2 linked regions of the Canis lupus familiaris genome follow. The protein of the gene in region 2 purifies or fractionates together with the protein of the main gene of each other region. This does not show direct contact. Links are inferred from orthologs where the notes say so. Each region holds a gene or a part of one and is shown on either strand. Other genes may lie near its edges.

Region 1 (12,131 bases), on a different chromosome or scaffold from region 2:
ATTATAATAAAGGCCTGTTTCCCACTTGATTTGGTCATGTTTCCCCCTATCACACTGCAGACATGTTCATTATCATAAGAAATAGATTCCTGTACACGAGTGTGTTGCTAAATCATTCTGTGAATATTTATTTTGTACCCGATATGTATAGAATGAACACCGTTTTAGGAACTGGGGATAAGAGAAGTGAGGAAAACCCACCCTGTCCTCCTGCGTGGAGCCAATGTGCTGATTGTCAGTAGGAAAAGACAGATCAATTCAGATAGTAGTGAGTCCTATAAAGGAAACAGGCCTAGTGGAGAAATGGAAATGGGAAGGACACGGCAGGTGAGATTGGACAGCCACTCTGAGAAGCTGACATTTGAGGAGAGCCTTGATAGGCAAAAAAGGGCCTGCTTGGCGAGCATGTTGCTGGGCAGGTGTTTCAGGTTGAGGTGGCATATGTGCAAAGGCCCCATGACCAGTAGGCAGTTGTCCTGTTGGAAGGATGGAAATCAAGCCACTAATTCCTGAAATGTATATAACTCTAGAAAATGTATGGATCACTTGACTTTTGAGAATTCTGGAATTTCTCCCGAGAGTGCTTTCTGGGAGATTGTGCAGGGGCTGTCTTTCCTCTGACCTCGTGGTACTTGTATGGGTACATGTAATATATGTATTTCAGACAAAGAGAGAATTGCCACAGCCCTTATCTTCACTCGGGGCAACAGATTTCTAAAATTGGCTTAATTCTTGCCTCCTTCAGAGCATGGAACAAGGAATTTAATCCAGCCTTTCAAAAATGTGTTTGATGATGCAAAATGTACATTGTCAGACCCAAATGGACAGATGCGGCATACCTTGGGAGGAGAAGGTCCTGGAGTTTTAAATTTTCATCAAAAGTCCCAAGTGATTTTTAATGGAGTTTAAGAAACATGAGTCTAGTCCAACCATTTTTTTTTTTCATATTTGGGAAAATGTTGCTAAATAGTATGAAGTATTCCCAGGTACTGGGGTGTCTGGCTGGAGCACTTTTCATCCTTCCCCCTTTTGATGTTTACATAACTCTTCTCCAGCAGTGAGAAAGGTGGCTCCCATTATCCACAATGTATTATTCGCTCAATCTTAGAATGTACAGAATGTCATTTCAGAATTACCAACCCATGTCTGCAAAAAGGCTTACTAATTAGAATTCAATAAATGTTTCAAGTTCTTTTTGTCTTGAGCCTTGAGGGCATATGGTCTCAATAGTCTAAATTACTTGGGTTAGTTATGGCCCTTTTATGTGGGTTATTCATTTGAAATATGGTTCAGAGCATTTGTTTCTTTTTGTATCAATTTTACAGCCTCTCCCCCCCCTTCCCAAGCTTGCTATTTTATTGTTTTTTGAGTATGTAAAACATTAACATACAGTCATTCATTTTCAAATGGCCTGGGGAGGGTCACATGGCCTGTAGATGTGAGACAGTGCTACCACTGCCAGCAAGTGAACAGCAGGGCCAGGGACAGAGCTCCCAGAGTGGTGAGTGTTGAGTGTGTTTGAAGTGCCACAGGCATCCTGTCTTCATTTTACCACCTTCCCTCAAATGCTCTGGGCTTTGGCAGCTTTCTGGTCACTCGTGGTTATGAGTCCCACAGCTGGACTTGCATAGCTGAGTGTTCTGAGTTAATTATGGTTTGCATCCCCTGATGTGTCAGCCTCTCCCCTGTGATTTGCATAGGACCCTCCCAGTCCAGTTTGGCAGTTTCTTATAAAGTCAAATTCATACTTATAATAAAGACCAGCAATCCCACCCAAGAGAAATGAAAATCCCTATCCACTTAAAGACCTTTATGCAAAGAATTATAATTGGGGTACCTGGGTGGTTCAGTGGTTGAGCTCTGCCTTTGGCTCAGGTAGTGATCCCAGGGTCCTGGGATCCAGTCCTGCATCTCCCTCTGCCTATGTCTCTGCCTCTCTCTGTGTCTCCCATGAATAAATAAATAAAATCTTTTTTAAAAAGTATACCATAATTGCCAAAAGGTGGAAACAACTTAAATGTCCATCAGCTAGTGTGGATAAACTGTCATGCATTATACAAAGGATTACCACTCAGCAGTAAGAAGGGACCATGTTACTGATATGTGCAACACACACTTAAATATCAAAAGTATCTTGCTCAGTGAAAGAAGAGACCTTCTGGAAAAGTTAAAACTCTAAGGAAGTCAGAAAAGTGGTTGCCACAGGCTGGGGGTAGAGGAAAGTGATAGACCCCAAAGGGGCAGCACAGAGAAAGCTTTGGAGTGGTGGGAGGATTATACATCCTATAGTGGCAGTGGTTACAGGCCGCTGTGTTTGTCGAATACTAACACGGTACAACCGAAAAGGGTGGATTTTACTGGACATAAATTATACCTCCATAGCCTGACTTTAATAGAAGCCTCTCAGTTATACTACCTTCCTGTCTCCTACCATTATCCGTGGTCTGGATATCTAATTCTAGGGGAAAGTGCAAATCTTTTTTTTTTTTTTTTTTAAGATTTTATTTATTCATGAGAGACACACACACACACACAGAGAGAGAGAGATTGGGGCAGAGACACACAGGCAGAGGGAGAAGCAGGCTCCATGCAGGGAGCCTGATGTGGGACTCGATCGATCCCGGGACTCCAGGATCAGGCCCTGGGCCAAAGGCAGGCACCAAACTGCTGAGCCACCCAGGGATCCCTGAAAGTGCAAATCTTTTACTGGCTTTGGGGAACCCTTTGGGGGAAGAGATAATGTGTTAGGTATGAAATGCCTGTTTCTTTTCTTTTCCCTTTTTTATTTTATTTTTTATTATTACTATTTTTTAATTTTATTTTTTAAGAGAATATGCCAGAGGGGCGCCTAGCTGCCTCAGTCAGTCTTTGCTTCAGGTCATGATCCTGGGGTCTTGAGATGGAGCCCCACATCAGGGTCCTTGCTTGGCAGGGGAGCCTGCTTCTCCCTCTCCCTCTGCCTGCCGCTCCCCCTGCTTGCACGTGCTCTCTCGCTCTCAAATAAATAAAAATAAAAATAAAATAAAGAGAATAAGCCAGAGAGCTTTAGTATGATTAGAAGCGAGGAAGAAAAAACTGGCCAGAAGAGCTGGGGGCTCCATGTAACTGGATCCTCAGCTGGATTGGATGCATCGATTCCTTCCAAACAAGAGCCTCCGTTGCTGGGTGCCAGGGTGCAACAGCACCACCTAGTGAGGCTGTGGAGATGAGCTGGTAGCGGGCACAGAAAGGAACAGTGGTGACCAATCTGAACAAAGCAACAGGTGCTGGGAAGGTGCAGGGGACCGGGGTGGATGGGGGGTGGGGTGGGGAGGGTGGTATAGAGTAGGGGCCCAGCATCCAGTGCCAGGTCATTGACAGATCTGCTGAGAACTGAGAGTAAGGAGGCATTGTCAGAGGAAGGCAGGGAGGAGAGCTTGCCAGCAGAGGGACTGCTCCATGAGCCTGGGGCACGGAGAGGTAATGTGGTTGGAGGGGTGCTGGGGGCCATGACAAGTGATGGGCTTGGAGAGGAAGAGCCTCAGAGCCCTGTGGAGGGCGTCTAGCCATGGGGAGCTACTGCAGTGTTAGAAGCAGGGGAGTGACATGACCAGATCTGTGGTTTATGAGTAGGTTCGGAGGGTAGCAGCAGGGAAGCCTGTTGGATTCCTATTGCAGTCATCCATACTGCAAGATGCTGAGTAGCCAAGGGGATGGAGAGAAATGGATTGAGAGGTTTGAAGGCTATTTAATAGGTAGAACTTTCAAGATGTGGTGAGTGGATGGTTGGAAAAGAAAGAGAGGCAAAAGTCCAAGATGGTACCTGGGACCCTAGGCTTGGGTGGCTTGGGTAGATGGTGATACCATCCACTGTGGGGTAGCAGGTTCAGGGGAAGCAATTAGGGTGCGGTAGGTATGAGGTGCCTGTGGGACACCCACACGGAGAATCCAGAAGGCAATTGGACATATAGGTCTGAAGTGGACAAGGACAAATTTGAATGGTATGTGAAGCGAGGAGAGTGACTGGGGGTGCCTGAGGAGAGGCCTCAGCTAGTGACCAGGTCAAAACCCTAAGCTACAACATTTAAGGGACAAAATACAAAACAACACACACACACACAACCCCCCCCCCCGCAAAAAAAAAAAAAAAAAAAAAAAAAAAACCTCACAAATGAGTTCTGAGAAAGAGGGGCTTAGGGAGCTTAGGAGGAAAAAAAGCTGAAGGCATAGGAAAAGAGGAATCAGTATTTTTTGTGCTGTTGAGAGGTCAAGTAAGGTAGGGTGGGGGGTGATGGTCTTGGTGAGAAGAGTTCCAAAGGAGAGACCAAGGCTACCTGCAGGGTAAAAGAGGTAAGTAGCCAGCAGCTACACCCAGTTCCTAAATAACACAAATCCCAACCTGCCATTTAACAACAAACTTCTGATGGTTCAAAGGCCTATACATAAAAAAAAAAAAACAAACGAACAAACAAACACACGCAAAAAAACCATAAAAGCATCAGGAAAGACCATCCTTGTGTGTAACAATATGGGCCAGGGATATTAAATTATGTCCATTTCACCGGTGTCCAGCGAGGAGATGGGCCTAGAGCCCCGTGAGAACACAGATGTAGACACAGATTTGAGAGCGATGGGCCAAAGTGGGGTAGAATCTGTCCATTTTAGGAAAGAGCTGCTCTGGCCATTGCTCTTCAAGGGCAAGGCCCAAACTCCATCCGTTCATCTCTGTATGTGGCCACACAAAAATTCAGCGGGGTCATTGAAAAGATCAACTTGGCTTGACTCGCGAATCGGGGGGCATCCCATCCAGCAAGCAGAGAGGTGCTCCCAGGACCCTAAGTGGAAGGGTCTTCATAGGAGGGAGGGTGGGGCCAGGGAGGGGTCAGTGACACAAGAGAAAGGACCTGGGGTGGAAGGCGGTGGTGGGGGGGGGGTCCTACTCTGGGCATCATCTCCTCTTCCTCTTCCTTTGGTGCGGGCGGGGAGAGGAGGGGTCCCCGTGACAGGTGCCCTCATGGGTGCCCTGGCTGACCCGTTCTGACCACGCTTCTGGGGGAGGGGGGGCTGGGGCTCCATCTTGGGCGTGGGGTTTCCTTTATCACAGCGCCGGGGATCAGGCATTGGATGGAACAGCGCGTGTCTGCGGAAGGGCCGGGGGCAGCGGCGAGGGAGATCCGGGGAGGGTGGAGGCACAGGGCGAGCCCGCGTGCGGGGCGGGGTGGAGGCCAGGTAGGGGGCCCGCGGTGCAGGGCTCGGCTCCCGGGCGGGAACGCTGCGGGCTGGGGGGTCCCCCGAGGCCCTGCCCTTCCAGCCGGCTTCCTGTGCCGCAGGGAAAAACCCCGCAGCCGCCCGGCGGGGAACGTGGGAGGGGGGGCGGGGTCTCAGCGCCTCCGAGGTCCGCCCCGCAGCAGCACCTCCCGCCCGCGCCCGGCGGTCGCCTAGGAGACCAGCCCCGCTTCCGGCAGAGCCGGCACGTCCTCCGAGGCCACGCCCCTTTCCTCCGAGGCCACGCCCCTTTCCCCGCGGGCGGGCGCTGATTGGCCCGTTTGAAATGCGCCGCGCGCGAGCTCACCTGGGCTCCCGGAGCGCCGCGCCTGGGCCGCCGGGTCCCGCTTCCCGCGGTCCGCCGCCCCCGCCGCCCCCGCCGCCCCCGCCGCCGCCGCCCCCGCCGCCCCGCAGAGCCCGGCGCCCGCCGCCATGAAGCCAGCGTGAGTACCGGCCGCGTCCCCTCGGTCTGCACCGGCCGCCGGCCCCGGAGGGGGAGCCCCCCGCGTGGGCGCGGCGCCCGGGCCGCGGCGGCCCCTCCCCGGGGGCTCTGTGCCGGGTGGGGCCCCGCGACGGGGGCGCCGCGGAGGTGCGGGCGCGGGGGCGGGGGCGGGGGCGCGGGGGGCCCTGGCGCCCTCCAGGTCGAGGCAGGCCGAGCCCCGGGAGCGCGCCGGGCGCCGGGCCGCGTGACAGCCCCGCCCCGCAGGCCCCGCAGGCCCGCAGGCCGCGGCCCCACCGCCCGGGAAGCAGCGCCCGCTGCGGCAGAGCAGCTGGTTATCCTAGGGGCCCGAGTAAAGACCTTCTAGCTTAAAAAAAATATATATATATACACACATATATATATATTATATATATACACACACACATATATATACACACACGTATATGTATACATGTATATATGTATATATATGGGATATGTATATATACATATATATGTGTATGTATATATATTGAGTTTATGTATAATATACATGTATATATGTATGTGTATATATATTGAGTTTATATAGAGTATATATGTATTATTTATGTATATATGTATATGTATATATGGGATATATATATGCATATATGTGTATATGTATATATATGGGATATGTATGTGTCTATATATGTGTATGTGTATATATACATACTGAGTTTATATATATTGAGTTTATGTATAATATGTATATATACACATATGTATATATGGGATATGTATGTATATATACATGTATGTGTATGTGTACATATATATTGAGTTTACATATGTATAATATATGTACATGTATGTATGTGTATATATATTGAGTTTATATAGAGTATATATATGTATTGTATATGCATATATGGGATATGTATATGCATATATATGTATATGTGTATATATAGGGGATATGTATGTATATATACATATATATGTGTATGTGTATATATATTGAGTTTATATATATCGAGCTTATGTATAATACATATATGTATATATGGGATATGTATATGCATATATATGTAAATATGTATATATGGGATATGTATATATACATATATATGTGTATGTGCATATGTATATATATATTGAGTTTAGGAGACCCACTATAATATTTTGTATTGGAAACGCTAATTGGCTTGCTTGTTTGGTCTCGAAACGTGTCGTGAAAATACTTGATTTTCTATGCAGTCTCTGCGGCGCTTAATTTTACTGTTAAATGTTCATCTGCACTATTGATTTCTTAACCGGTCGGGGCTGGCGGTGTGGAGGAAAGCCGACAGCCTGATTGATGAAGCCCCAAAATAGCTTCTGATTGTAAGAGGGCAAGAAATGGCAGTGGGAAGACCCAGTTGTGTTCGAGGACAAAGGATGATGGCTTAGAGAACTCCGATAATTTGTTCCTTGAATGTGTAGATGTACATCTTGCTGAAAGAATGGATTTCTTTTTTTTTTTTTAATCATTTCGTGAAGTTGATCACCTGTCAGCCTGCCTTAGCGATGGATGTTGGGGCAGTGTGTGCGCTGGTGTGCCTGTAGGTCTTGAGGATAAACCAGGTCTCAGTTATCTATGGATTTTTCGAATCTGTAGTGCTTCTGTAAAATTGTCGTCCAAGAAAATATGCAAGCTAGTTTAAATATAGAAAATTATCTAGTACCGAAGACGTCTCCTGAACCCAATTTGCCATACTTTTGCATTAGGTGAGCCACATACATTCTTTTTTTTTTCCCCCACAAACATTCTTCTAATGCAGCTTATTTTTAACGTTATTTGGGGTGTCATGTTTTAGAACTGCTCAGGGATAACTTTATAAACCCAAGGAAGACTGTCTCTGAATTATAGGTGAGGTTTTTGTATGTTATTTTGAACTGATTTTTTTTTTTTTTTTAACCTGTGACCAGGAGGACTAAGACGCCCAGGAAACTTCTAGTGAAGAAAGGATCCCAAACAAGTCTTAAAGACCCAGTGGGGGTAAGGTCTCCCTGTGAATTTGTGTGTGTGTGTGTGTGTGTTTTCTTCTGTCCTCTTCTGTCTTCTGTGTATGCTTGGAAGGGATGGAGCTGTGGAAGCAGAGTCAGAGAACATTAGTTAAATGGGTAAGTCTGGTCCCAGCTTTAAAGTTTTGTTTCTATATAGGATTCATTAGTAAAATGAAGTGTTTGGGTATGTCAGTTGCATAACTCCTATAACTAACTATAACTTGAAAAGTTAGATAATGAAAGATATTCTTCAGCTGTCCCGGAGAATTCTTCTACTCTCTTGGAAGGCAGGGAAATTTCTGCTTGGATGAGCATCCTCTCCCATCTTTGGGGCTTTTAAATAGTGACTGATGGTATGCTCCGTAAAGACACTGGTGTAGAACAGCTTAATTCAGTCTAGTAACTCATCATAACTGCATGTACTTCATGAGTTTCAGGCTTTGGGACTTTCTTTTAAAGACAAATGGCAAATAAAAGAAGGTTGTTTTGCCCTGGGATATTTTTCTCTCTCCTTCACTGGCACCAGAATGTGTCTCTTGTTCTAGGTGGGGGGAAACTGATGCTTTGCATTTTCAGCTGAATAGTTCTTCCTCGACCCTATCACTGATTAAGAAGATGTGTTTCAGATGATGTGCTTACTCATTTGTATATTATACTTATTTGTATATATGTTACATTTGTTGGTATATAGTGTTAAGCTGTCAAGTTTTATTTGATATCCAATATCAACAAATTCTAACAGCTTTTCAGATAATTCTCATTGTGTGATATGTTATCAATTTTAGAGATTTTTATATTAGTGGTAATATAAATTTACTCAATTTGTGCCAGTATAATAGTGATTTGATGCTTTTGTCATCCAAATTTATTTTCATTGTAAGTGTATTTAAAGCTCCTCATACCTGATAGATCTGTTTATAGCTGACAATGTCTGGTAGCAAGTTTTGGTTTTCATAGCTCTAAGTTCATATAAATCTCTTATGCTGAGAGACCAAATGTTGGATGAGTGAATGAGAAGCTTAAATGCAAAGTAGTCAACCTTCATTCTGGAAGCACATTCCTGTAATTTCAGGTGTACTGTAGGGTGCGCCCACTGAGCCTTCCTGATCAAGAGTGCTGCATAGAAGTGATCAATAATACAACCGTTCAGCTTCATACTCCTGAGGGTTACAGGCTCAACCGAAATGGAGATTATAAGGAGGTAATTCCCATTGGAACCAAGCTGTTTTTACTTGAGATGTTCTCTCCTGAAATGGCTTTTCCATTTTTTTTTTAACATTTAACACAATTCACATTTCTACTTTTTTTTGAAAAATTTGTTTACTTCCCTCTAACCTCTATATATAAAGTGTGGATAGGCTTATGTTTGGTATTCTTTGAGTTAGGGGATTGCTTATATGAGGCAGTTTCTTGTACTGGATATTTATTGTTTTTTAGAGCATAGGTTTGGGATCTTGAATGATTGTGCTAGGTCGCTATACATACAGACACACACACAATTTCATGTGCAGATTAAAATAGCAATAGGCGTTTTGTATTTGTTTTGACCTCCTTTGAAGTGTTGTTTAATAAAATCTTGAGCAAAGTGAGTTTAGTTCAGTTCAAACATTGCACTAAAGCTGCAGGGCAGAAGGAGATTTTCAAAAACGAGTAGGACACAATCCTTGCCTTTATGGGGCTTTCAGCTGAGTTGGGGGCACCAGATAGAAAGGGTAACCTTTATATAGATAAAATAAATCAGTGTGCTGAAAGAGCTGGACTATGGGAGTGCAGAAGGAAGCATGGATTCAGGCTGTTGTCTCTCTGTTGAGCTGCCTTTCACCCTCATGCACCCTGCTCCTGTGAGACTGTCAGAAGCCCACAGTGGCCTCTGGATTGCTCACATTGGATGGACACCTCTTGTCATAATCCATTTGTCAGCAGGACCATCCTTCCTGAAGCCCTCTTCCGTCTCCCCATCCAGGTCTCTATGTTCTCAGCTGTAACTGGCCACCCTCTTCAGGTTCTTCTTCCTTTTCTAACCTCTCAGTGCTGGGGTTGGCTACACCTAGGGCTCTTTTCTCTACCCTTTCCCATGGCTTTAAATGTTGCTTATAGTTCTGGAGGTTTTTTTTTTTTTTTGTTTTGTTTTTTTTTTTAAATTTTAATCTCCAGCCTAAACCTTATGTCTGCTCTAAGCTGGAACATCCACTGTTTGCATGTCATGTAAGCATCTCAAATTTTATGTGTCCACAAGAACTCTTGATTTTTTTCCCCCTCTAAATCATTTCCTCATTTCCTCTCAATAAATGGTAGTACCGTGCGTCTCCTGCTTGTATCCCATTGACCAGTACATTCTGTAAGTTCTGCTCCAATGTGAAACTGTCCTTCTGTTTCTATCTTCACAGCCCTTGTCCCTGTCTTAGCCCTGCTGTTAATCACCAAGACTAGTGCTTCTCAAATGATCTGTGGTGGAGGAACAGCTTTTTAAATTTTTCAGTGCATTGTGATTGGATACTTTTGTGCAGCTTTGCCATCTGAATTAGACCATGGAGAAGTGATTTTGTAATCTGTTCAATGAGACGAGCCTGTTGATCACATGCTGGGATGTTGCAGCCATGTCAAATGGCTAGAAAAGTTTCTAAACTTCAATTTCTTTAATTCTCTCCTCCTAGACAGGAAACAAACCAGTTCTCAGAGGGGCACTGATTTGCTGACCATACTTTGAAATATAACTGGACTGCCTGTTTCCACTCTGAATCTTATTCTCCAATCCATTTTCCACAAAGCCACCAAAGAGAGCTTTTAAAGTATAAATCTGGGCAGCCCCGGTGGCATAGCGGTTTAGCGCTGCCTGCAGCCTGGGCTGTGATCCTGGAGACCTGGGATCGAGTCCCACATCAGGCTCCCTGCATGGAGCCTGCTTCTCCCTCTGCCTGTGTCTCTGCCTCTCTCTCTCTGTCTCTGAATAAATAAAGAAATAAATCTTAATAAATAAATAAATAAAGTATAAATCTGATCTGACCCTTTTCCTGTTTAAAATTTTCAAGGCATAGTCGTTAAGTGAGCAAAATCCTGCTTAATTTGCTCTATTTCTCTACTGTCAACTCGTCCTAGTCATCCAGTCCTGAGTTCCTTGGATAAGCCCAAATCCTGTTTCAGTGCGGTCCTCTTGGCATGGACTTTTTCTTTCTTTTGGCTCTTAGCATGAATGGCTCCTCATTTGTGGATTTCAGCTTAAACATCTCCTCCTCAGAGAGAATGTCCAGACCACCTTATCAGAAGTGGCACCCTTCCCCGCTTCTGTCCCAGTCTGCCCTTTATGTGCTTCCTTGATAGCACTTAGCACATCAAGAGTTTTATTTTCTCTCTCCCCTGCTATAGTGTAAGCTTCAGGGGGATGTGTGCCTTCTCTGTCCTGTTCCCCGTTCAGTGAATATTCAGTGGACGAAGGATGAACATTCTGGGACAGCTTCATGAGGAGTGGGCCTTCAAAGATGTCAAATAACTGAGAACTGACTTGCTGTGAAGAACTTCACTTCTCTGTTAGATTAATTTCAAGTATGTAAAGTAGACAGAAAGCTTGGTGGGGATTAACAGTTCTTTCTCACTGCCTTGTGACAGGAGGCAGAGCTGCACTGGAAGTGGCTGTGACACCAGTCAGCACTGCAGGCTTGGGCAAGTGCCTCCCCTTGGGCTCAGTTTTCTTTACTGGAAAGGAGGGCTTTGTTCACAAGGACTTGGAGGTCATCTGGCTGAGCTGTCAGCACTATTTTTTGTGTATCCTTTCCATCCTAAGATTCCTTATTCTTGTGAACTCTACTGCTATTTTTACAGGATTGCAACAAAACCTTCCAAGAAATGAGAGTTAGCCTAGCTGAAGTAGGTGTGTGATCTTTAACAAGTTTTAAAATGAGCATGGTAATTAGCAGTATCTAATCACAGGTCAGAGTTAAATGATTCACTGCCAAGCTAAGGCAGTGCTTGGCACATGCTCCATGCTGAGAGTCACCTGTTGTATTGTGTATTTGAGTACTGATCTATACTTGTTTCCTTTTGGAGACTGCTAATTTTAAAAACATAAGGGTCATGATAGTCCTATCTGTACAGGCTGAATTTAAGGACAAGTGTATTTAACATAGGAAAGAGGGGTGCTGCTTGACAAAGGCTATAGTCCGTAATAGATTCTAGTGAATGCTCACCACTGACATTTGTGAAGTAAAAACTGTGAAATTCAGGAAGATCACAGAAACACTTGCAGTATTTCTCCAATACAAGAAAACAGAAAAAGAACAAAAACAGAAATAACAGAACTCCAGCCCCTGTACAATTAGGACAATTCAATTTACATGAAAATATATTTATATACCCCAGCCCCCAAACTAATTTTCCAAGTAGGAGTTTGGTAATATTTTAGGTAATATGGTTATAACTTTATAATACTCATATTTTGATA
Region 2 (11,594 bases):
TTTATTTAAATTCCAGTGAACATGCAGTGTGAAACTAGTTTCAGGTGTACAATGTAATGATTCAACACTTCCAGATCTCCTGTCCTCATAACCCATCTAGCCCCCTCCCCTGCCCTGGGATAACCATCAGTTTGTTCTCTATAATTTCTGTTTCTTGCTTTGTCTCTCATATTTTTCACTTTGCTGGTTTTGTTTCTTAAATCTCACATGAGTGAAGTTCTGTGGTATTTGTCTCTCTCTGACTTATTTCACTTAGCATTACACTTTCTAGCACCATCTATGTTGTTGGAAATGGCAAGATTTCCTTTTTTGTGACTAATATTCCATTATATATACACCACATCTTTATCCATTCACCAACTGATGGCGGATGCTTGGCTTCCATAATTTGACTATTGTAAATAATGCTGCTATAAACATAGGGGAGCCTGTATCCCTTTGAATTAATGTTCTTGTATTCTTTGGGTAAATATCCAGTAGTGTGATTGCTGGGTCATAAGGTAACTTTTTGAGGAACCTCCATCCTGTTCTCCAGGGTGGCCACACCAGTTTGCATTCCCACCAACAGTGCACAAGAGCTACTTTTTCTCCCCATCCTTGCCAACACCTGTTGTTTCTTGTGTTTTTGACTTTAGCCATTTATACTATGTAGATTTTTGATTACTATTTGGATCAATGCTTTCCACCTTGGAAGGAGAAAGCATCTTATTGTTGAATATTGCTTCTTCCTTGTATGAGGGCAGTCTAGCTGCAACACTGTTAGAATTTATTCAATTATGACTGGTTAGGTGAAGAGCCACTTCTTCCCTTAACTGCTTTATAAATGGGTCTCCTGAAGTTGCATGCGCTTGAAGAGGATAGCTGTGCAAGAGAGTAAATTTTTTTTTTTGATAAGAGGAGTGCTGATGTTTGTATACTCTGCTGCAATTTGTTTTCTCTTTCTCTAAAGTGATTTTAAAAAATAAACAGAATTAAGTCGTTTTAATTTTAGAGAATATTATGATCTCAAAGATGGAAATACATGCCAGATTTAGCCAAAAGAGGGATTAAGAACTGTTAATTTTGATGTTAGTACCTGATAAACATATTTAAATATTTTTATTTTTAATAGAAGAAATGCCTCAAATCGAAACCAGAATGATATTGGTTCAAGACGCTGGAAAACAAGAAGAACTTATAAAAGCTTTAAAGGTATGGAATTTTAGTTTTTTAAGGGAAAGACTATTTTTCTTCCATCAATATTTAAGTAATTTTATAGTTTTCTTTATCTTATACTTAAGTCTCTTTTCCACAGACCATTAAAATAATGGAAGTCCCTGTTATAAAGATAAGAGAAAGTTGTCCTGGAAAGTCGGATGAAAAATTAATAAAAAGTATTGTTAATATGGTAGGTCAAGCATTTCATTGCATGTGGCATGCTGCACTACTCTTGATTATATTCTTAAATTCCACTTAATGGTAATGGACCTAAATTAGGCACAAGGTATATTTTGCACTCTGAAGCTAGATGAATAGAATCATTTATATTTATTTTAAAAATATGAGTATTTCTGAAACCTCAAACTATAGTATATATTGTATGAATTCTTTACACAGTAACTTGGCATTGTTAAATTTAAATGGCACACATATTCACAAATATATGGTGTTTTTCTTACCTTAACTCTTAGCATTTTTTTCCCCATTAATTTTATGTTTATTCCAAATTCTTGCTCTATTTCCAAAATTATAAATTGCTGGGGCACCTGGGTGGCTCAGTTAAGTGTTCAACTCTTGTTTTTGGCTTGGGTCATAGTCTTGAGGTGGTGGGATAGAGCCCCATGTTGGGCTGCAGGCTTTGTGTGGAGTTTGCTTGAGATTCTCTCCCTCTCCCCCGGCTCTTCCTCTTGCTCATGCACATGTGCTCTTTCTCTCTTTCAAATAAAATAAATAAAATCTTAAAAAAATATATATAAATCACAATAACTTGAGAGTCATCAGGGAATTCGTTTCTGCATATGAAATATATTCTGTATACCAGCTGTAGTAGTTTGTGAGAGCTGCTGTAATAAAATACTGAGACTGGGTGGCTTAAACAACAGAAATGTATTTTTCAAAGTTCGGGAAGCTAGAAGTCCCAAGATCAAGATGTTGAAAGGTTTGGTTTCTCTTGAGGCCTCTCTCCTTGGCTTGCAGATGGTTGCCACCTTTCTATGACTTCACATGGCCCTTTTGGGCATGCACATCCCTGATAACTCTGTGTCCTTGACTTTCTTCTTTCTATAAGTACAGCAATTTGATCAGATTAGGGCCCACCTACATGACCTCATTGAACAAAATTACCTCTTAAAGGGCCCTGTTTTCAAGTATAGTCTGATTTTGAGGTACAGGGGCGGGGGTTAGGGCTTCAGTGTGAATTTCAAGGACATACAATTCAGCTCATCACATCAGCCTAGCAAATAAAGCCCAAAACAATTTACTGACCAATTCAGAATTTTCTTTTAAAATAGTTCCGTTCCTTTTGAACAGGAGTCATACAGGTACCTTAATATCTTTATTTTTTATCTTAGATGTACATTATAAAATATTAAACATAAAGCCTTTTTATATCCTACATTTTGTCACACAGCAACTGCCTGCTTATTTCATATCTCTTATTTCCCTCATATATACTGAAATGGTTAAGTTAACCTATACCCTTTTTGTAGATACTAAGTGGCATAGTATTTTTTCTATTTCTATTAATCATTCTGAAGATGATTTATGAACAAAGAACTGTTAAGTATGGCATCATTTTCTTAGAATAAAAAGTAATAGTGGAGGGATGCCTGGCTAGCCCAGTGTTTGAGCCTCTGCCTTTGGCTCAGGGCGTGACCCCAGAGTCCTGGGGTCCGGTACTTCATTGGGCTCCCTGCAGGGAGCCTCCTTCTCCCTCTGCCTGTGTCTCTGCCCCTCTCTCTGTGTGTCTTGTGAATAAATAAATCTTTAAAAAAAATAATACTGGATATCTTTCTAATGCATCCTACTATCAAAATATGTACATATAAAAATCATTTAAATTTTATATGTGTATTAGATTTATAATGACTTAAGTCATGTTAAAAATTTATAATATTAATATTCAGAATTTAATATCAATATGGATGGATATATGTATCTATAAAAATACAAATAAGTAAATAAGGCTGTTTGCTATTAAGTATAATGCTCATTGTGTGATTTACAAGTTTACTACACCTCTAAAAATAAAAATATTGATAGTGAATTGATTTTAGGTTTAGAGTTATATAAATTAATTTTGTAATTATAAATTTTTATTTCTCATACCACCTGAAAAAAATCAAGGAAATTAAAGTGCCCTTTGTAAAGATGGAATCACTAGAAGAATTTGAAGGCTTGGATTCTCCAGAATTTGAAAATGTGTTCATAGTCACGGACTTCCAGGATTCTGTTTTTAATGAGTTACACAAGATGGATCATAGAATTGTTGGACCACCAGTTATCTTAAACTGTGCCCAAAAAGGAGAGGTAAGAAAATATACATTTATTATGACTTTCAAGGTTAAATTTTTATTAATGAATTTTGTGAAAATTCTTTACCAGAAAAATCCTGTTAATTGTTAGGAGTATGTAATAGTTAGAATAAGGTTAGTAATTGTTATTCTAAGATAGTTTTTAAAATCTTTCTATTGTAACTCATAGGACTAAAAATCTTAAGACGTTTAATAATGACAATCATATATTTGTGTGTATATATGCACATATATGTCTTAATACCTTCTGGGGGAGAGAATTTCTTAAAACTTGGGTTCCAGCAATGTATACACGTATATAAACTTATTTTCTTCCATAGAATGTATATACATTTCCATTTTTATTTGTTACTTCATGGTTTAAACATATTTTTTAACCATTCTTTTTCCATTATGTATATATCTCCCTTGGTTAAATTATTACTGTTTCCATTTTTATAGCTCAAAAATTGGAATCATATTTGGTTCAAGTATATGTGTAATTTACATAGTGTTCATTATAAAATATTTCAAACTGTTGTAACTTTAATTTGGAAACATTTACAATACTGTATAGAGTCTGAAATTTTCCTAGTAGGTAAAACTTTGTGTCAAAGTATATTTTAGAACTGAAAGTTTGTGTATAAATATGTTTAAATTGCCAGTAGTAAGGTGTGTTTAGATTATGTGTGCCAAATATCAATTGGGAATTATGAGGGGTTTTTGTATTGTAAACTTTGTAATATGTTTTTTGCTATTTTTTTAAGCTTTTTTTTTTATTGGTATTCACTTCAGAAACTTGAATCCACAGATATAAGCAGTATATTACCAGAAAGTTACAAGTAAACACAGATTATACATGCAAATTTCTGTTCACAAAGGTCACATGTGCACTGTATTCTAGTAGTCAATGTATTTTCAGTGAAATGTAAAAATATTCCCGTTCTCTTTGAGCAGTATTAATTTCTTGAGATCTTATTGCTTGTCACTTGAATCCTGTAGCTGTCATACATCTGGTATAAGCAACATTTGATTTTTGAATTGTGTAGACCATCTCTTCATATTTCAAGATGTAATTTTACATTTCTGCATTTTAAAAAGTTTGGCCATAACCTAGACACACGCTTCTAATTCATATACCTGCACATGTGATCTTTGTGAACAGAAATTTGCATGTATAATCTGTGTTGTATCTTGAAAAACACAAGAAATCTTGGATTAACAAAGTTGATTGGCAAGAGGGGGAAGTACGTCTTAGCTTGAGAAATATGTGTTCTATTCTCTAAAGAAAGCTCACAGATTTAAAATTGTTATATCCTTCAGCCTTTGCCTTTTTCATGTCGCCCACTCTATTGTACGAGCATGATGAATCTAGTACTATGCTTTACTGGATTTAGAAAAAAAGAAGAACTAGTAAGTATTTTAAAACCTTCTATTCAAGGAATAATTTTTTTCCAGCCAAATAAATTTAAATTGATATTTTGTTTGGTTAATTATATCATGGTTTTATTTAAAACATATTGAAGGAGAATTTATGAATGTGCTATTTTAAATTTTATGAAGAAACATTCTGAAGAGCATTTTAAAGAAACATTTAGTTTAGGATGGCAGGCATATGAATTAATAGAAAGACCTTATTACTATCTGATCTGCTTAAATTGTCTTTGTGCTAAGTACCACTGAGCATATTATTTGAAGTTTTTGTTAACACATTACAATTTTTGGTTATACAAGTCCAGCCTTAATGTATATTCATTGCCCTAGAGAATTCATAGAAACTTATTTGATTCATAAAATTTTTTGTGTTGGAGCTATTAGGGTATTACTGTAATTTGTGGGAAGAATCTAGGTGTGATATAACCTAGTGTTAAAAAACAATCTTTTTGGATGTATGAAAGCCAGTTTAATTTCATTAAGTTTTGTGCAGTCATCTCTACTACCTTATCTCTATGTATAATTTTGCCTGTGCCAATAAGGCAAATGAATCTTTAATTTTTTTTTGACATAAAATTCATATCTTAATAAAAATTATTGTATGTACCTTATAAATAAAAATTATTCAGTAGATGCTAAATGACTTCTAAACATAATTTAAAATTTTGTTCAAGTTAATTATAAAGTTAATGTTGCCTAATTTTTCTTTTGAGGTCAGATTGGTGACATTGGTTCATCACATGGGTGGAGTTATTCGAAAAGACTTTAATTCAAAAGTTACACATTTGGTGGCAAATTGTACACAAGGAGAAAAATTCAGGGTATGTAAATTTGAGTATTTCACTATAGCATTTTTTGGGGGGGGGATAGATTTAATAACAGCACTTTCATACTATTTCTCTCAGAGTTTACTGAGAATCAGAAATTCAATTTTTGCTAAGTACATTTAGTAAAAATTTTAAATCCTAGGAGTGTGGTCTTTTAGGTTTTAAGGAAGCAATGAAACCTGAGTTAGGTCTTGAAATAAGTAGGATTTGCGAATGAGTAGGATTGTGGAGGTTGGTAGATGGGTAACGTTTCAGGCAGATAATTAATATCAGCAAAGGTTACTATTAAGTGTTGGTGAATAAGGGGATTGGGAAGTGTGCAGTTATTTCACTCTTGCCTAAATGGTCTTAAGAACTGAGCTATCTTCTTATAAAATGGCTCTAAGGTTTAACTAGTGAGAACTATGAAAGAGCAGGAAAAACTACTTTTATTAGAATTAAAATCTTAGTTTAAGATTGCTCTTGAATATCGTAGGAAGAGCTTATCACCTTGTTCCCACCCTCCATCAGAGTATTTATGTAAAAAATGGTAATTTGGGGGAATGTTGAATTCCTGAGAGGTATACTTTTCAATTCATATCTTAGTTTCTTGTGACTTAATCAGGTATTTTGTTCTGTATTCCTATCTTGGGGGTCAGTACTTCTAAAGGAGTAAACACGGAGAAAAGAGAAATAGAAGTATAGTAAAATAAAGATGAACTTTTAACTTCAGAGTTGTATTTATTTAAAATAAGGAAATGATTTGGATATCATGGAACTTGTTCTAAATTATTTTAACCTAACTTGTATGATTGAAAGACAGTTTTTCTGTTAATGTTTCTTTATTTTGTCATAAAGCAGATGAATAATGATTTAAAACTTCAAAAAATATGTATAAAATTGTTTAGAAATTCCATGAATGCAGTTATTTAAGGTGCAAATTTATTGTGATTAACTTTTATGTTTTTAGATTGCTGTGAGCCTGGGCACTCCAATTATGAAGTCAGAGTGGATTTACAAAGCCTGGGAAAGGCGGAATGAACAGTAAGTGTTTAGAAAATCAGTAGTTCATGATTTGAATTAAATGTTATGAAGGTAAACTCATGTGCCCAAAACCCTAAATTCATAAAGAGTATAGACAGAATGAATTCAGTCTTTGGGTAGCCTAATGAATAAAGTCTAGGAGGAACAAAGTTATAAAAACATAAAAAATTGAAAGACATATGTGGTTATCTTCAGACTTTACCTTGTGGGATAATTTTGATTATCATTAACATTCTAAAACTCTTAGGTAATAGCTTAATGAATCTGGATATATGGGTTGTGTTATATTTTTTTCACTCTGTTTGGTTACATTCTAAGTGGTGATTGCAACTCAATACCTTGTTAAGCTTTCCAACCTCATAATTCGTTGCTATTCTGCTGCATCATTACTTAATATTTCATAAAGCTGTAGAACCCCTGGAATAGATAGAAAATTTCACGTCCAGAGCAAGGATTTGAATCTTTTAAAGACTACTTGTGATCAAATTTTATCAGAATTTACTCCCGGATGACTGAGGACACATCCAATTTTTTTTTTTTAACTGATGTTTTTATGAACATTTCAGGACCACACGTAAAATATTTTCAATAAATAGATTATACTAAAACTTACAGAATTATTATAGATGTATAAATTGATATACTTTCTGAATTTAAGTTAAGCTGGTTTTAGAAGAGTATATTTTATTTTTAGGGATTTCTCTGCATCAGTTGATGACTTTAAAAATGAATTTAAAGTACCTCCATTTCAAGATTGCATTTTAAGTTTCTTGGGATTTTCAGATGAAGAAAAAACGAATATGGAGGAAATGACTAAAATGCAAGGTAGAATTTACTATAATTTAAAAAGTTCATATTTTTTTTCCCCACTCTTGGTTAATTACCTCCTGGTGAATCTACCTCTTTAAAAATTCAGGTTTGGAGATAAATAGTTTGACTTATGCTTGTGTGCATTTCTTTTAGGAGGTAACTGTTTACCTGTTGGAGATGAAAGATGCACTCACCTTGTAGTTGAAGAGAATATAGTAAAAGAACTTCCATTTGAACCTTCAAAGAAACTTTATGTTGTCAAACAGGAGGCAAGTAATTCTAGAATAAGATTGGCTTTTGTTTTAGAGTTTTATTTTTATTTTATTTTTTTATTTTAAGTAGGCTTCACACTCAGTGTGGGGCTTGAACTCACTATACCAAAATTAAGCATTTCATGCTGAGTTTCAACTCAAAATCATGAGTTTCACTCATGACTGACTGAGTCAGCTAGGAGCCCCAAGATTGGGTTTTTAAAAATATTACTAATGGCTTCTCTGATAAGATAGATTCTTTTTTTTTTTGAGATTTTATTTATTTATTTGAGAGAGAGAAAGAAAGAAAGAGAGAGAGAGAGCATGAGCAGGGGAGAGGCAGAGGGAGAAGCAGACTCCCCACTGAGCAGGAAGCCTGACATGGGGCTCGATCCCAGGACCCTGAGATCATGACCTGAGCCGAAGGCAGATGCTTAACCAGCTGAGCCACACAGGTGCCCCTGATAAGATAAATTCTTAATTAAAAAGTTTTTCTTCTCTCACCTAGTGGTTCTGGGGAAGCATTCAAATGGATGCTCGAGCTGGAGAAACTATGTATTTATATGAAAAGGTATGTATTTTTGTCCCTTAGTCATTCTGTGATTTTGATTGTATAAAGATAACACTTCTATCTGAAAAGAATATTATATAATTGGCATGTCTAAGAGTTTGTGAATAATTGAACAATTAGATATTGAAGAAGTTTGTGTAGATTTAAGCAAAACTCTATTCAGTGCAGTAGAATTATTTTAATCTACCATATGTCATTTTGTGCTACTACTTAGTGATACCATTATGAACAATAACATTCCTATCTTTAGAAACTTAGAACCTTAAGGGAAAGATAGATATACAAACAGTTACAGTGCTGAATATGTGCTATAGTTGAGTTATTATTTTAACTAACCTCACTCTGAGAGACTCAGGCAGGACTGAAAAGAGCAAACACATGTTGAACCAACTGATTAGGCTAATCTTGCAAGGACATTCAAGTTAGACAGCAGGTGGGAGATGATGTGAAGATTGAAAGTACCTTGAAATAGCAAGTGGTTCAGTATGGGTCTTGAAAGGAGTGTGGGAAAGAAGTCCAACAAATAAAGCTTACAATTTAGGTAGAATCCAGTAGTTTTTAAAATGTTAAGGAATTTGGGTAGTATTGGGAACCATTGAAGTATATTAAGGAGAGAGATGTCATTGGAAAAATAACTCTAGTAGTAGATTGTAGGCAAGGAAGGATGCACCTGTCACGCTAGATTGGGGAAGAGTGTATCATTTACAAAAATGTGGCATAAAGGTATAGAAGTAGGCTTTAAGGGAAGATTTTCTTTAGTGGGAGATTTAATTTGAACGAAATATTGAAGATTGAGGTACAGATTTATTGTATTACTATGAAATCTAGATAGGTTCTATATTGTCTTCTGACTCTTGTTCTCAGTGTAGAATTCTTGACCATAAAGTTTAAAAACTGCTTTAAATTCTAGCAGAGAGCTTTTAAAGTCAAGTATTACTTGGCAAATACTGGAGAGCAATCTGTCCAGGCACTGTGCTAAATGCTAAGGATACAGTGAACGAACTGTGAATGGTCCCTGCTCTCCAGAGTTAATGGCCTAACGGGACTAGACAGTAAAGAAGCTTACAGATGAATATGTAATGGTGATAGAGCTGAGAAGAAACAGAATGAGGTGCTTGGGATTAGGCAATTACAGTAGTCCCTTGTCTATTATGTTTTATGAATCTTCTGAATTTCCTGGCAGAGTGTATAGTTGTAAAATCATTGTGCAAAATCCAGATTTTTGTCAGACTTGTAAATATAGTTTTCTTCTGTTCCTGTCTCAGTGTAGAACCAAGGAAGTAAAATTGAGCTTTTGTGCTTTTGATTGCAGGCTAATACTCCTGAGCTCAAGAAATCAGTGTCACTGCTTTCTCTAAATACCCCAAACAGCAATCGCAAAAGACGTCGTTTAAAAGAGACACTGGCTCAGCTTTCCAGAGAGACCGACATGTCACCTTTTCCTCCCCGTAAGCGCCCATCAGCTGAACATTCCCTTTCTATAGGATCACTTCTAGATATCTCCAACACACCAGAGTCTAGCATTAACTATGGAGGTAATTCACATTAAAAAAAATTGATCATTAAAATTTAGTGGAATGCAATAATTGTTAGAATATAGATAAATCACTACTATAGTTAATATGAAAGGTTCTACCTTTTATTATACTTTTGTTCCAGCTGAGGAGAAAAGGCACATAAAAATGCTTCCATTTAATGATTGTTTACTATATGCTAAGTGCTTTCTATATTTTATTTGTATATCACTCTAGAAAACGATAGAGCTATTCAAAGAACAAATTCTTAACACCAGCAAAACAAGATTAGAGTGTCGCATGAATTGTGGAGAGAATAGGTATGATGAAATCAGCAGAGGCTGAGCTAAGTTCTCAAATGATATAGGGAGGCCCTGCAACTAACTCTTCTCTCTTGATCATCAATTTTTCCCTCTACTTTGGTTTTATGATCTACACACAAATATGTCTTGTTTTTTAGTTTTAAGAAACAGTCAAAACGTCCCCTTGACCTCCTGACACTCTCTATTTTCTACTCCATTTCTTTCTTTCCTTTTGCATGAGTATTCCTCAAAGAGTTAACAGTGATCTGTTGTGTCAGTTCCTTGGTTTTCATTGTCTTCTCAACCCATTCCAATTGAACCTTAGTCCCTGCTGCATGAAATTGCTCTTGCTGAGATGACTTTTTTTTTTTTTTTTTTTAAGATTTTATTTGAGAGAAGAGAGTATGAGCAGGGGGAGTAGCAGAGGGAAAGAGAGAGAGAAGCACTCTCTTCTGAGCAGGGAGCCTGACCTGAGGCTTGATCTAGGGCCGTGAGATCATGACCTGAGCTAAAGGAAGACACTTAATAGACTGAGCCACCCATGCATCCAAGATGGACAGGTTTTATGTAGTCCGCAGCATTTAATGCATGAACAGCTGCTATATGCTCCTCCAACTGAGTCAGCCAGCTGCCCCCATTTTTGCCTTTCTACATGCAGCACTTAGGTCTCTAAAATACATATAAATTAGCTCATGCCCTCCTGTGCTTGAAGTCATTCAGTGGCTTTCCATTACCGTAGCTTTTGAGTTCCTATGTGATCCTTTCTCACCTACCTCCAAACTTCTATGGTGATGTGCTCTTCTATAATACTTGAAGCTTCAGTCACACTTATCTTTGTTATTCTTTGGATATTTCCTCTACATTCATACCTCAGGAACTTTATACTTTACCTCTTTGCCTTAAAAGAAATCTTCCTGGGTTTCTGCAAAGTTAAGTCCCTGTTCCAGTACTTCTCACTAATCCATTAACCTGGTGGTTGTCTTCAGTAGTAGTTATCACTGTTAGAAATTAATATTTTTTATTTGCTTCACCAGAGTGTAATCTTTAAGAGAACAAAAACCTTGTCTAATCCTTTGCTTTGTTCTCAGTTCCTAGTACAGAGTAGATACTCCCTAAATACTCATGGAAGGAGTTGAGTGTCAATTTATAATAGGCCCAGAAAACTGAAGTGGAGTTGAGAAATGAGAGGGGCAAGAATACAAATAATAGTATACAAATTCAGATTTTAGGGAATAGTGAATAGGTGAGTTTGCCTAGAGTATGGGAGAGTAATAGTTAAATTGAAAAGTTAATTGTGGCCTGATATTAGAGGACTTTGAAATCAGACTGGTATGTCTAAACTGCATATTGTCATCAACAAGGAATTTTAGA

The links.
Region 1: the proteins of ECT2 (region 2) and KIF23 purify together in Homo sapiens (co-immunoprecipitation; 3 studies listed by BioGRID and IntAct, with this or other methods). This does not show direct contact. The link is inferred for Canis lupus familiaris from reciprocal best matches to the Homo sapiens genes ECT2 and KIF23.

The regions. Positions count from the first base shown.
Region 1 is NC_049251.1:33,739,262-33,751,392, forward strand, and holds the start of KIF23 (kinesin-like protein KIF23), read left to right. Parts: upstream 1-5,634; 5' UTR 5,635-5,676; coding exon 5,677-5,687; intron 5,688-7,618; coding exon 7,619-7,688; intron 7,689-8,768; coding exon 8,769-8,897; intron 8,898-12,131.
Region 2 is NC_049255.1:37,149,479-37,161,072, forward strand, and holds part of ECT2 (protein ECT2), read left to right. Parts: intron 1-1,111; coding exon 1,112-1,191; intron 1,192-1,294; coding exon 1,295-1,387; intron 1,388-3,324; coding exon 3,325-3,507; intron 3,508-4,814; coding exon 4,815-4,904; intron 4,905-5,638; coding exon 5,639-5,746; intron 5,747-6,701; coding exon 6,702-6,775; intron 6,776-7,469; coding exon 7,470-7,600; intron 7,601-7,738; coding exon 7,739-7,854; intron 7,855-8,344; coding exon 8,345-8,407; intron 8,408-9,719; coding exon 9,720-9,942; intron 9,943-11,594. UniProt on the Homo sapiens protein: Guanine nucleotide exchange factor (GEF) that catalyzes the exchange of GDP for GTP. Promotes guanine nucleotide exchange on the Rho family members of small GTPases, like RHOA, RHOC, RAC1 and CDC42.